Daphnia pulex: one gene and its partner. The protein of the gene in region 1 purifies or fractionates together with the protein of each later gene. This does not show direct contact. Links are inferred from orthologs where the notes say so. Each region holds a gene or a part of one and is shown in the gene's direction. Other genes may lie near its edges. The genes, in order: derlin-2-like and FAS-associated factor 2-like.

What was found.
Region 2: the proteins of derlin-2-like (region 1) and FAS-associated factor 2-like purify together in Homo sapiens (affinity purification with mass spectrometry; 5 studies listed by BioGRID and IntAct, counting the BioPlex papers as one, with this or other methods). This does not show direct contact. The link is inferred for Daphnia pulex from reciprocal best matches to the Homo sapiens genes DERL2 and FAF2.

What each region holds. Positions count from the first base shown.
Region 1 is NC_060027.1:834,329-840,907, forward strand, and holds derlin-2-like, read left to right. Parts: upstream 1-2,371; 5' UTR 2,372-2,516; intron 2,517-2,579; exon of another isoform or gene 2,580-2,608; 5' UTR 2,609-2,718; coding exon 2,719-2,811; intron 2,812-2,874; coding exon 2,875-2,940; intron 2,941-2,998; coding exon 2,999-3,166; intron 3,167-3,236; coding exon 3,237-3,359; intron 3,360-3,447; coding exon 3,448-3,611; intron 3,612-3,696; coding exon 3,697-3,844; 3' UTR 3,845-4,531; downstream 4,532-6,579. Other genes in the region: high-affinity choline transporter 1-like, read right to left, coding at 1-77, 136-284, 354-521, 596-706, 795-993; transmembrane protein 17B-like, read left to right, coding at 5,421-5,532, 5,621-5,724, 5,795-6,106.
Region 2 is NC_060019.1:5,815,316-5,821,790, forward strand, and holds FAS-associated factor 2-like, read left to right. Parts: upstream 1-3,775; 5' UTR 3,776-4,000; coding exon 4,001-4,060; intron 4,061-4,141; coding exon 4,142-4,559; intron 4,560-4,622; coding exon 4,623-4,983; intron 4,984-5,054; coding exon 5,055-5,322; intron 5,323-5,381; coding exon 5,382-5,528; intron 5,529-5,608; coding exon 5,609-5,782; 3' UTR 5,783-5,925; downstream 5,926-6,475. Other genes in the region: ATP-dependent RNA helicase vasa-like, read left to right, coding at 1-292, 357-437, 494-571, 628-699, 755-826, 886-954, 1,017-1,073, 1,133-1,309 and 7 more. UniProt on the Homo sapiens protein: Plays an important role in endoplasmic reticulum-associated degradation (ERAD) that mediates ubiquitin-dependent degradation of misfolded endoplasmic reticulum proteins.

The sequences.
Region 1 (6,579 bases):
GTACCTAACCAATCAACCTCGCTCATAGCCTCGTGGTCAACGGCCGGATGAGTCCAGACAAACGGAATGCAGAATACCTATGATTGCAACGAGAAATTCAGTCAACTGAATGTTGGATTTGAAAAATGGAAATACCAGGCCAAAGAGAACACATCCCAGTTGAATGACGTCAGTATAGGCCACGCTGTAAAGGCCTCCAATCAAGGTGTAAGTAACAGCCACAGCAGCACTTATGATTATCGACAGAGTATTGTCCAGTCCCAGCATGACGGTGAAAATGGATCCTATTGCATAATGCTAAAATTAAAACATTTTGACAGCCAACATTTAAAAAAGTTTTTCTAATGCGTCACCAAGGGCCGACAGGATAGCAGCGGACCAGAATATCTCCCCGCACAGGGCCGGCAAAAACAATAGCCCACCAATACGTGAGCCGTATTTTTCCTGGAAGGGATCGAGCATGGTAACATATCCTCGACCTCCGTGGGCCATTCGCATGGGTTTAGCGAAAAACATTCCACCTTTTTATCCAAAGAATAAAAATGATGAAACATGATTTACTATAGACACACTAATGAGGCAAACACACACACACCAAGTAAGAGGCTCATGGAATATCCGATCGCCATTGTAGAGCATTTTAGAAAGCCACCAGTGAAGGCGCTTTCACAGGTGCCGTTGATGTAACCTCCTGCTACCCACGTCGCTGTCGTAGTTGTTGTTGTTTAAACCTGCTTGTTGGAAACCAAATCTACCCCTCTTGTATACTGAATCGGGACAACACTCATCGTTACCCGTCATCGTCAGGACTCCGACGAACAATCCCATATCACGTCCGGCCAGCATTATGTTCTCCGACAGGTTAGCACCGCTTTCCATCCGCTGTAGCTGTTTAAATTTCCTCTTTTCCTTCCATCCTACCCAAATTCCAACGGCCAGGATCAAACAGTAGAAGAAAGCCACAGAGATGACGCCACCGATATTCACGTTCATCTGTAAACAAAAAACTGGACAAGCCAAAGTGATAAATTGTCACAAGGTCAACTGAAAAGGTAAAACCGAAATATAGGGATAATAACAAAAGGCTACGACGACGATATCTTACGTTTGACGGCGTCGCTATAACTTATCACTCGGCCAGTCTAGTCAGACAGCAAAAACCGATTGGAGAGCCAGGCGTAGGTGCGACTGCAGCCGATGTTCCTCACTCTATATGACTGCGCACGTGCGGCGGATGTTCAGCGTCGCGACGATATGGTTGAAAATGATACACATCTGTCACGTGATCTTTTGGTCGTCAAACGAGACACTAGATTGTCTTCTAGTAGTCACGGCGATGATGAGGCAAGAGAGTAATGTCTGCCCAGTTTCCTTTACTCAATTTCTTGCACTAGAGTTTTTGGTAGCAACGACCGTTGATTGGCGTACCTCTCTCGTCTAGATTTCGTGCTCCTATAAAAGTAAAAACAATTCAAGATTTTACTGCAAAACGCAACAGTTGTGTAGTGAATTTTTGCATTGGGGGAGAGACGACGTGGTATAACGGGAAGTGTACTAGAGACTCAATAAAAGTGGCCTTTGGAAGAGTTAGAGGGAGAAATGAGGGTATCCCAAAAATAGAATTACAGAAGGTATGCATCTTGCTGGCCTTGTTCCAGTATACATTAATGGCTCTGCCAGAAACAAAAAAGCCTTTCAGCATCTCAAATCATTACACAACTTACTAGCTGTAGTAGAATTTACAGATAAAATAATGAAAGCTACTGCTATGTAATTTTCTATCTTATGAGAGAGCCAATTCCTTTCTTTGTATTCTTTATTACCTAATCTGTTCCTAGAAATTGATACATGAATTGTGGTCGGTCAACATGTACCAGGCTATAGTAAAAAGAAAACACACTCATCGAATAATTATGTAAGAGTAAAATACTTGTTTTGTGATGTGAAGATGGTTGCTCAATCACCTATCCCAGCATGAACTGTTACTCAAGTTGCATATATCCTTTCACATTAAGAAGAATTTAGAGTTTCACAAAAGTCAATAACCGTGGAAATTGTAGCCAACCATTTTTCAAACCAAATATACGAACTACGACACTCGACCATGTGTTTTTGTTTTATCTGCAAGACTGCACTGAATGCACCTACTTCCAGTTTCATCATCTCCCTCCCAATAATAAATAAAGTAGAAGATGGATGATTTATCGCCAAGACCCGAAATGAAAAATAAAAACTAGGGGTTACGTCAACAAATTCAATTTAGTCAAAATAAACTGAGGTTCCAACGGTTCAAATCACTCGAATCTTGGATGGAATAATAATCAAAAAGTTGTCTGCTACATCAAAAGAGGCGCCATTTACACCGTTGCAATAGCAACCAAAAATTGATCTTTGGAATTCCCTTTTTTTGACATTTCCGTTTCTGCTGTAGCCTCTACAAATTGTCCACGTCGACCAAGGGGGGTTTGTTAAAAGAAAAAATAAACAAACCAATTTGACTCTTGGGAAAAACGATGGTTGGTAGTGTTTCGCGAAATCCTTACATTTTTGGATAAATCGTTTCTTGATTGTATTTCTAGGTATTCATAAATTGTTTTTCTTATTTGAGGTTCGTGTTTGAGCTGGTCATAGTCCTTTGTATACAATAACAGTATACAATTTAAGTGATAAAACATCATCTTAGTTGACTGTTGATGAAATCAATTACAAGAAAGCACCATGGCTTACCACACATTACGCCAAGAGTATATGTTGATGCCTCCAGTAACTCGGGCATACACCACTGTTTGCTTGCTCACTTCAATTGCAGTGGTAAGTAACACTCGAAACTTTGAAAGGGACTCAGTAATCGACTGCAAAACATTTCCTTTTCAGCAACTGGATGTGGTGTCACCTTTTCAACTGTATTTCAATCCTTTGCTCATCACTCAAAAGTTTGAGGTAATAGGATTGGTTTGCTTTTGTATGGTAGCCAAATCATGTAATCTTGTATTTGCAGATATGGAGGCTACTGACTCCATTCTTCTTTTTTGGGACATTCAGCTTCAATTTTCTGTTCAACATGATTTTTACCTATCGCTATTGTAGAATGTTGGAGGAGGGTTCATTCAGAGGTAGAACAGCTGATTTTGTTTACATGTTCATATTTGGCTGCATCACAACAGTGGTAATTATGAAAATTTGCATGAATTCCTGTTTCAAGTTTTTTTAACTATTTGCTTTTCTCATGTTTTTAGATATGTGCTTGGTTTGTAAATTTATTGTTCCTTGGACATTCGCTCACCACGATGTTCGTCTATATTTGGGCTCGGAGAAATCCTTACGTTAGGATGAATTTCTTCGGCCTTCTACCTTTTCGAGTAAATAGGACAAAGCAACTGCAAAATTCAAAACACCCTGTGCGAAAATTAACCGATAATTTTTTTCTCTATCCTGACATTTTTATAGGCCCCATATTTGCCTTGGGTTCTCGTGGCTTTTTCAGTTCTTTTAGGCAATAGCGTATTGGTGGACATTCTCGGGATCGCCATCGGTCACTTGTATTTCTTCCTGGAAGATGTGTTTCCTAATCAGCCTGGAGGCAGAAGACTCTTGGCCACGCCTCGTTTACTGTATGCAACAATTTGGCATTCTCGAAAAGAAAAACATCAAAGATCGGTCAAGGGGTTCACGGTTTCTTTTCTTTTCCCCCCCTAGGAAACTTTTGTTCGACACGCACACTGAAGACCCTCTTTACAATCCGGCTCCTGACGAGCGTCCTGGGGGTTTCGATTGGGGCGGTGCTGGTGCTCCGGGAGTGGCAGACGCAGTCGCCGACCAGCCGAGAGAAAACGAAAATCAGTGAGGAAAAGAAAGAAAAAAAAGAGAAACAAACACAATCGTCTTTTTGAAAAATTACTAAATGGCAAAAGAAAATACATGGAAATTTGTTTAATATACAGTTGTCGATGTTCGCCCTCATTATTCCTTCTACACAGTGGCCCGGTTTTCTTTCGCTTACCAATGACCGACTAGCATTGACATACTGCTTTGTTGCAACGTTTACAAATATCCAGCGCTTTCCCCTTTCTCCTTTTATGGCCATCTTTTAACCGTGTCAAGTTTACACGCAATCAACCGTACTCGTAGTGTCCATAGTGCAGTTCTTCGCCCATCCAACTCGAACATTTTGGGAACACACAATCAAAATCGGAGCGCACTAGATAATGAATTAATATTCTATTGATGTGAATAAACAAGACTATTCCCTTTTTCGCTAGCTCAGAGATGAAGGGGAGGCGGACCGACCATAAGTCAATCTGAGATAACCGATTGCGAATTCTAGTGAAAAGGTTCTTTGAACGTCCAAGTTTGCACCGAGCGCACAGCGATTTTGTTTCAAGCCAACAAATAGGAAGGAGCAGTTGTCAACCTTGAAAATGATACATTCCCATCTGAAGCATAAATGTCCAAAAAACTCGATTGCATTACGACGCCTTGTTTGTAGTGAATGCGCCAAAGATTTCCAAATACACAACTTGAAGGTCGCAAATCTGTCAAACTAACAAGACTTGCTATTTGTTTGGAGTCATTTGATTTTCTAATCCTGACCTGCTACAGAGATGATGCTGCATTGGGAAAGGCTTATGCTACAGCGAGTTCACTGCCCTGATCACACACGCAGTCCTCAATTTTGTTTTGTTTCTTCAAGGATCTTTTGAACTGCTTAAAGATGTTTAGTCCACCAGATAGTGGAAGCAGATACTGGAGTTGGGAATGTTATAGTCTAGAATTGAAGAGATAAGTAGAAATCAAACCTGCACGATGACGAAAGAAATCAAATAAATTTAGTTGAAATTGACTCTTGTATACATAAATCTAATTAAGAAACAGACAACTTAGGCATTATTTTTTCTTTCCTTCTCCTCAAGTAGTCTGAGATATTCCCGTTCCTCTTTCTCCTTCATTTGGCGAATGGTGTCCTCAAACATCTTTTTGTTCACCCTGCTTTCGGCAGGGTACATTTCTCTCCTCAGATTGATCATCCAATCTTCAAAATACTCTGCCTGGTTAAAGTAATAGAAACAACCAACTGGGAAAATCATGTACATCCCCATTTTGGCTGCTTCCAGTTGCCAGTTTCCCATGTTTGGATTGTGAAACCTGGACAAGAAAGATGAAAAATAATTTTCCAGCCATCGATCCTACAAGTTTTTTCACAGCTTACTTGCTCTAATATAATCGCCAAGTATTTTATTCACAAAACAAGTTTGTACGTGTACCACACAGCACATGTAATACTGTGACGGGAGAAAGTCACGAATGAAAACAGCTGAGTTGTTCTGCTAGAGTCGTTGCCATGGCGCCCAGTTTGAAATGCCCAAAACAATCGGCTGTCATTTCGTTCATAGCCAAAAGCCATCGTCGAAAGCGATGAAATAATGGGAAGACAATCAGTTCAAAATGTTGTGGATTCTTTCAGCGATAGAATATTTCCAGGTCTGTCGGATATACCTCAAGATTTCTCATTCGTATCGGGTCAAAGTGACATAGGTAACTTCAATTCTTCTCAAATCATTCAAGTTCTATCTATTGCGTCTCGTACTTTATGCTAAACGTTTGATTGTTTTATGGAGCAAAGTTTATGATGTCCAATCAAGTTTGGTACTGCAAATGTCACTATACTTCAACTTGGTCTACTACCCAGTGTGGCTGGCGATCATCCTGGCATCATTTGTGGCAAAGGTATTTACATAATACGAAGAAAAAGTCATTGTCTTACATTTCACTCATCATCTCTTGCTACATTTGGCAGCACCAATGTTTTGGCTGGTTCTCGTATCTCCTTCTTGGAATTGGAGTCTCTGCCTGCTGTGTGACGGAAGCCACCAGGATCTACTTGGGCATGTCTGGCAACCTGAGCGAGCAAGTGGCAGAGCTGTCCACCTTCTGGTTCACCACACTCCTGGTCCAGCTGCCACTTGTGACAATCATCCTGATCGTGGCACTCAGCCTGAGCCAGATCCTGGAGATTGTCGCCTTGTCCATCTCCAGTCTCCTGATGGCAGTCCAGCTGTGTGTCTCGTTCGCCACACTTCGTAACGTGGCCCGCCTTCGCCAATTTTAGAAACCTTGAGCCAGGCGAGAGAGAAACTATACCTCTACGTCTCTCTCTCTCTCTCTCTTACTTTAATTTCCACCTCGTGTCGACAGGTTTTTCTTTCGTTATAAAAGCGCATCAGGGTTCTGTGTGAGACGACGAAAAAGAATCAGATAGACAGAGAGAGAGATGAAAATGAAAATGAAAAAGAGAGAGAGAGAACTCTTTTGGTAGTATCTATATGCACGCGAACCGCTCGCTGGAATTTTGTTGGGGTTTTTTCTTCTTTTTTCTGGCGAGTGACCAGCGACCTTGACATGGCGGAATGAAACACACACACACACAGACTCCGACTACTACGACTACTACCACACTAAACTATACTCAACAAATAAGCAGCAACCAAATAAGTGAAAGGAGGTCCGATGAGTCAGAGAATCTCACAGGATCGCCACAGAAGAAGAAGAAGAAGAAGAACATCCAAATGGTGTTTGGACAGA
Region 2 (6,475 bases), on another chromosome or scaffold:
AGTTAGCCAGATGAGCACTGTTAGGGCAGCCTCTGATGATGAATGGGGAGCTGCAGCGAATCCTGCTTCTAGCTCGAATGGATTGGATGCTCCAGGAAAGTCCACTGGAAATTCTAATGGTTGGGGTGCTTCAACTGCTCCTGCCAGCTCTGGTCGCTGGGATGCACCCACTCAAAACTCTCAATTCAATAATGATGTGGAAGACCAGCCACGAGGTGGTGGATTTGGAAGCTCTGCAGGTGGAGGTGGATACAAAGGTGCTGGAGGAGGAGGCAGTCGTGCTTGCTACAAGGTAAATGATAAAGCACATGAATTCTGGAATGTTCAAAAGTAATCGTTTAAATTTTTAAATATAGTGTGGAGAAGAAGGACATATGTCTAGAGAATGCCCTAATCCAAATAGTGGTGGTGGAGGTGGAGATCGCACATGTAATAAGGTAGGCAAAGGTTACTATTTTTGGTCAATCAAATATTGTATTCAAGTTTCTTTCAGTGTCAACAGCCTGGACACATGGCAAGGGATTGCCCAACAGGAGGTGGTGGTGGAGGTGGAGATGGTACATGTCGTAAGGTATGAAAGGGTTATAATTTTTTTTATTTCAAATATTATATTGAATTTGCTTTCAGTGTCAACAGCCTGGACACATGGCAAGGGATTGCCCATCGGGAGGTGGAGGTGGAGATGGTGCATGTCATAAGGTAATCAAGTGCTATTATTATCTGGTATCAAATATTAAATTCAAGTTTCTTTCAGTGTAAAGAAACTGGACACATGGCAAGGGATTGCCCAACGGGAGGTGGCGGTGGGCCTCGTACGTGTAACAAGGTAAATCTCAACGATAACTACAACTCAGTTTTCTTTTAATTATTAATTGAATTAAATAGTGTGGAGATGCTGGACACATCGCAAGGGAATGCCCATCAGGTGGTGGTGGAGATACCAAATGCTTCAAGGTATATTTCATAAGTAATATGTATTGCTAAATTTTTATATGAATTCATGTTTTATTAAATAGTGTAAAGAGGAAGGACACATGTCAAAGGATTGCACAGTGGAAAGCAAGTGCAACAATGTATGTAAAACATTATTAATCATTAGAACAGTACAACTAATTAATTTAATTTTCTTTAGTGCTACAAACTTGGTCATAGTACAAAAGAATGCCCGGACGAATATAATTCCCTAACTGAGGATGGAAAACCACGCGAGAAATATACACCGCCAGATATGACTACCGATGAAAATGAATTGTTCAAGGGGATTTCATCCGGAGAACACTTCCACAACTTTGATAAAGTTGCTCTTCAGGTTGGACACAAGAACTATTTTCCGATTTATCTAGGTCTACTTAGTTATTTTAACACATTTTGTGTTAGGTGACCGGACAAAATATACCACAGTACATTACGTCTTTCGAAGAAGCTGGCTTGCGTCCATTGTTGCTGCAGAACATAAAGAATTCAGGATATGTTAAACCTACCCCCGTTCAGAAGGGGTCAATTGCAGTTATCTTGGCTAAAAGAGATTTGATTGCCAGTGCGGTCACTGGATCTGGAAAAACGGTAATTATTATTCGTTACAGTAATTCACAACCTTTTTGCTTTCAATTCAAAGAGTTGGGACGAATGGGTAGATAAAGGGAAAAACAAACATAAGTGGGCACGTCGGTGATAGTGGCTTGCAATGGCAGTGTTGCATCTAAGATACTCAACAACATTAAAGTTCATTCATTAATCGATGTATTCATCTTTAGGCTGCATACTTGGTTCCGGTGATGAATATTTTGTTAGAGCAAGGAATTGCTGGTGGCTCTCACGGCATGGTTCAGAAGCCTGAAGTTGTGATCCTTGCACCCACTCGCGAGTTGGCCATTCAAATTCACCGCGAAGCCTACAAATTTGCATACAATTCTGTGTTGAAGTCTGTGATAATCTACGGTGGAACTGTTTCTAGTAATCAAAGAAGTAATCTTCAAGCTGGCTGCAACATTCTTGTGGCAACGACCGGTCGACTTAAGGATTTTCTTGACCGTGGTGTGTTCGACTTTTCCGCTGTAAAGTTTTTGATTTTGGACGAAGCGGATCGTATGCTCGACATGGGATTTGGACCCGATATTGAAAAAATTGCTGCTCATCCAACCATGCCCCCAAAAGTGAGTCTGGTTTGATATCTGTTAAACAAATAATCCTAATTTTCTGCCTCATATAGGGAATTCGTCGCACTTGCATGTTTTCAGCCACTTTTCCAGAGGAAGTCCAAGCATTGGCTGCCAATTACATGGAGGATTACATTTTCGTGACTACAGGAACTGTGGGCGGAACTAATCCCGACGTCCAGCAAACGTTTTACGAATGTGCGCGCAATGAAAAGAGGACCAAATTGATAGAAATCCTTCGTGAATTGGGAGAAGCTAGGACTATTGTGTTTGTCGACAGCAAGAAAACGGCAGATTTCGTTGCTGTATTTTTGTGCAACAGCGATATCCAGGTAGAACATATTCGTATATTGTATTGAATATTTTTATTAAGTTTTCGTATAGGCTACGAGTATCCACGGTGACCGTCTTCAGAGTCAACGCGAAACAGCACTTCGTGAATTCAGGACTGGTATACGTAATGTTCTGGTTGCCACTAATGTCGCTGCACGTGGATTAGGTATATTTCTTTCTGTTTAAAATGTGAATTATGTTAAATCAAATTTTTCTAGATATTGAGGGCGTCAAGTACGTTATTAATTACGACCTTCCTGGTGATATTGAGGAATATGTGCATCGCATTGGTCGAACTGGTCGTGTGGGTAATGTTGGACAATCGATTAGTTTCTTTGATGTAGAGAAAGATGGTCCTAACGCGGGCAAGCTAGTTTCATTGCTTTCAAAGGTAAAGAGATAAAATGGTTTTGAAGTGTTATAGGTTTTTTCATGGAATATTATTTTAGTCCAATGCTGATGTCCCTGCATTCTTGCAAGCGTTGGTGTCCGGAATGGGTGGAATGGGTCTTGATTACAATGCACCTTCGACTCAGGGTGGTTTCGCTAGTCGTGACATGCGTCGGGTGAGTTAAATTTTCGATTGTAAACATTCTGGTGGTGTTTTTTGTTATATTGTTTTTTTTTTTTTTTATATTCAGTTTGGTGATAAACCTGTAGGAGGTGGCGGAGCTGAACGTCCAACCGAAGCTGAGGAGAGCTGGGACTAACGAACTTTCAACGGCGCCTCTTCATTATTCTAAATTTTTGTTTAACGTTTGGAGTTCTCCAAATTAAAAAAAGAAAAGAAATCTCATCCAAGAAAATCTTGGAATTCCCTTACTAAGAATCAATTTGTCGCAATGTTATTATGTGTTTATTTTTCTAACCCAGATTACGAATACAGAACAAATTTCCTTTGTTAAATTTTTTTCTATAAAAAACTTACTTACTCCTAAGCTTATTTGTTTTTCAATTGTTATTGCTGTGAAAGACTAAACTATAGTAGGGGAGGAAATTTTGATGAAATCGACTTGTTTTATTTGAATCTTTAAATTATAAAACTAACTTAAAAGTACCATGCTCACTTGGTATGCATGCAACTTTCAATTTTGCAAAGGCGTGTATGCAAATTAACCTGGAGTACATGAAAAGTAATAATCGCTTACTATTGCGCAATTATCAAATGTAGCCAAAAATTCGCGATCTCCACGAATTTGGGGTGATGAAGATCGCATGTAGTGTAAAATCAGATGAATTGAGGGTTTTACGATACTTTCTTATCAACAGGAAACTGATCTCAGATTTTACACGGACACGGAGATGTTCAAAGTAACTCCCCGCGAGCAGGACAAGGAGTTGAGTTGATAAAAGTTTTTGAGTGCAGCCTAGCGGCCAAGATAGGAACCCAGGAAATATTATTCATCTTCAGTTCTTCACCGATGGTTGCTAGAAAAGTCTACTGATTAAAAGACACAATAAAAGAAGAAGCTAGGCAACTGTAGTTCCCAAAGTTGTTACAATAAATTGTAATGGATCTTGAAGATCGTGAACTCAGTCCTCAAAATACAGAGAAGCTAGTCCAATTTCAGGTAAGAAATCGACTTATTCATGTATATATTCGTCATAAAATGTTGAAAGTAAAAGTGTTAAGTAAATGTCTCTTTATAAAGGAGTTGTCTGGAATCGATGATCTGGACAAATGTATGGAGATTTTAGAGAGGCACAACTGGGATGTAGAGACAGCCATACATGATCATCTTGGTCTAGATCCCAGAGAAATGGCTCAACCTGCCAGGGAAATGCCTGTATTTCCTCTACAAAATGGACAACCTACTGTCCACAGACCTCTCCCACAGAACCCACCTAGAACACAACCTGTCGACTCAGTTATTCAAAGGATAATGACTTACTTCTTCAACCCCTTCCTTGATGACAACACAGGCCTTTTTCCATTGCCAAACCAAAGGCCTGATGGGTTTACAGGATGGCTGTTTTTCCTCTCATCTCTTCCATTAAGAGTTGTGATGGTTACATTTTATCATTTAACCCGTTTTGTCTTCAGGATCATCAGACCAGAAAACCGACCAGGTATTTAAATCTCTACTTTCCTTCAAAATTTCCTTTCTAATTGTGTTTCTGTTAATCCAATAGCTGTCACAGATCCAACAGGAAATGTCATTTCCTTCATTCACGAGTATAATGAAACATTTGGAGATCAACACCCAACTTTCTATCCTGGAACCTACAGTCAGGTTCTCAATGAAGCTAAAAAAGATCTTAAATTTTTGTTGGCATACCTCCACTGTAAAGACCACCAAGACACAAATAAGTTTTGCCGTCAGACGCTCTGCAACCCTCAAGTCATAGAGTTCATTAATAGCAATTGCTTAATGTGGGCGTGCAGTGTAAATAGTTTGGAAGGCTACCGTGTCTCGCAAGCGCTTCGAGAGAATACTTACCCATTTTTGGCCATTATTGTTCAGAGGGAATTCCGTATGACCGTCGTTGGGAGGTACACGGGAAAAATTTCTGTTGCAATATTGAAATCGATTTTTAACGATCTTTTCATGATTTCATTTGCAGAATTGAAGGATTTATTGAACCAGATGCCCTAGTTCAACGTTTACGAACCACAATTTCAGATAATGAAGCTTTTCTAGTGGCCGCAAGGGCAGACCGTGAAGAACGTAGTTTTAACCAAGCTCTAAGGTTAGAGCAAGATGAAGCTTATCTCGAATCGTTACGAGCTGATCAAGAGAAGGAAGAGAAAAAGAGACGTGATCGTTTGCTTGAAGAAGAACGTCTTAGGGAGATTAGAGAGATGGAACTAGCCGAAGAACGAAAGAAAGAGGTAAGGACGACAAGTATATCGCTATCCAATCCGGATTTAATTTTACCCACCCTTTGTAGGAAATGATCCGGAGGAAGCAAGAAGCAATTAACTTGATACCGCCAGAACCCGCTGCCGACGAATCCGGAATTTGCCGTATTCTGATCCGATTACCTAGAGGGCAGAAACTAGAACGGCGCTTCCATCGAACAATCCACACACTCAAAGTAATTTTTTCTCATGGCCATTTCAAACCTTAAATCCATGACCATATAAAATTTTTTATCTGCTAATTATTTCGCAATAGGATCTGTACTATTTTATTTTGGCTCATCCCGATTCTCCATATCAATTTGAAATGGCTACTTCTTTCCCTAAGCGAACGTTACCATGGCAGCCCGACATGGATACTTACCCGACGTTGGCAGAAGTAGGTCTTGGAGCCTCTGAAGCTCTTCTCGTCTTGGACTTGGATGCTTGATCAGTAGAGTTAAAAAATAATGTGTTTACAAAAACCTTTACCTACTCTTGCCCCCAAATTTTTCTTCAATTTCACATTGACCCGGTATTAAACCGCCATAAAAGTATCATGATCATAAAGAAAGAATAAAGAATTTCCATATATATTTTCTGTTATTTCCTTAATTTTGACCCGAAAGCCAGAAAAACCGGCAAAACAGCACAGAGCGACACCTGACAAGCCCCGGCTATTTTGTTAGCTATTGAATAAATTTTGCATATAAATGTCTAGGAAAAAAGGAATTTTGAACAAAAGAATCAAGAAGCTTTAGTGGAAATGAGGAAAGGGGAGCGGTTGAAACCGAACCAATCAAGAACAAAATAATTGGGTAAAAAAAATCAAATTCAAGGAAAACACTGGGGGGGAGGGGAGATGTGGGGTGTATGGGAGTGTAGAGGTTAAGGGCCCTACTAGAAATGAACATAAAATGTCTTCATTAATTTTCCTCTTCTCTGGAAAGTTTTGGTTTCACAAGGACAACACACGCACGGAACAATAATTTATGATCGGGAAAAATAATAATAAAAAAAAAAAAAATAGGAGAAATGAAAAAAAAAAAAAACAACGAAGAGCTGTCTTTACTACAGACCAGGAAAAATCCCAGAGATTCTCGGAGAATTTACAACAGTTGCGGATTAAAGCATCGGGAATAGC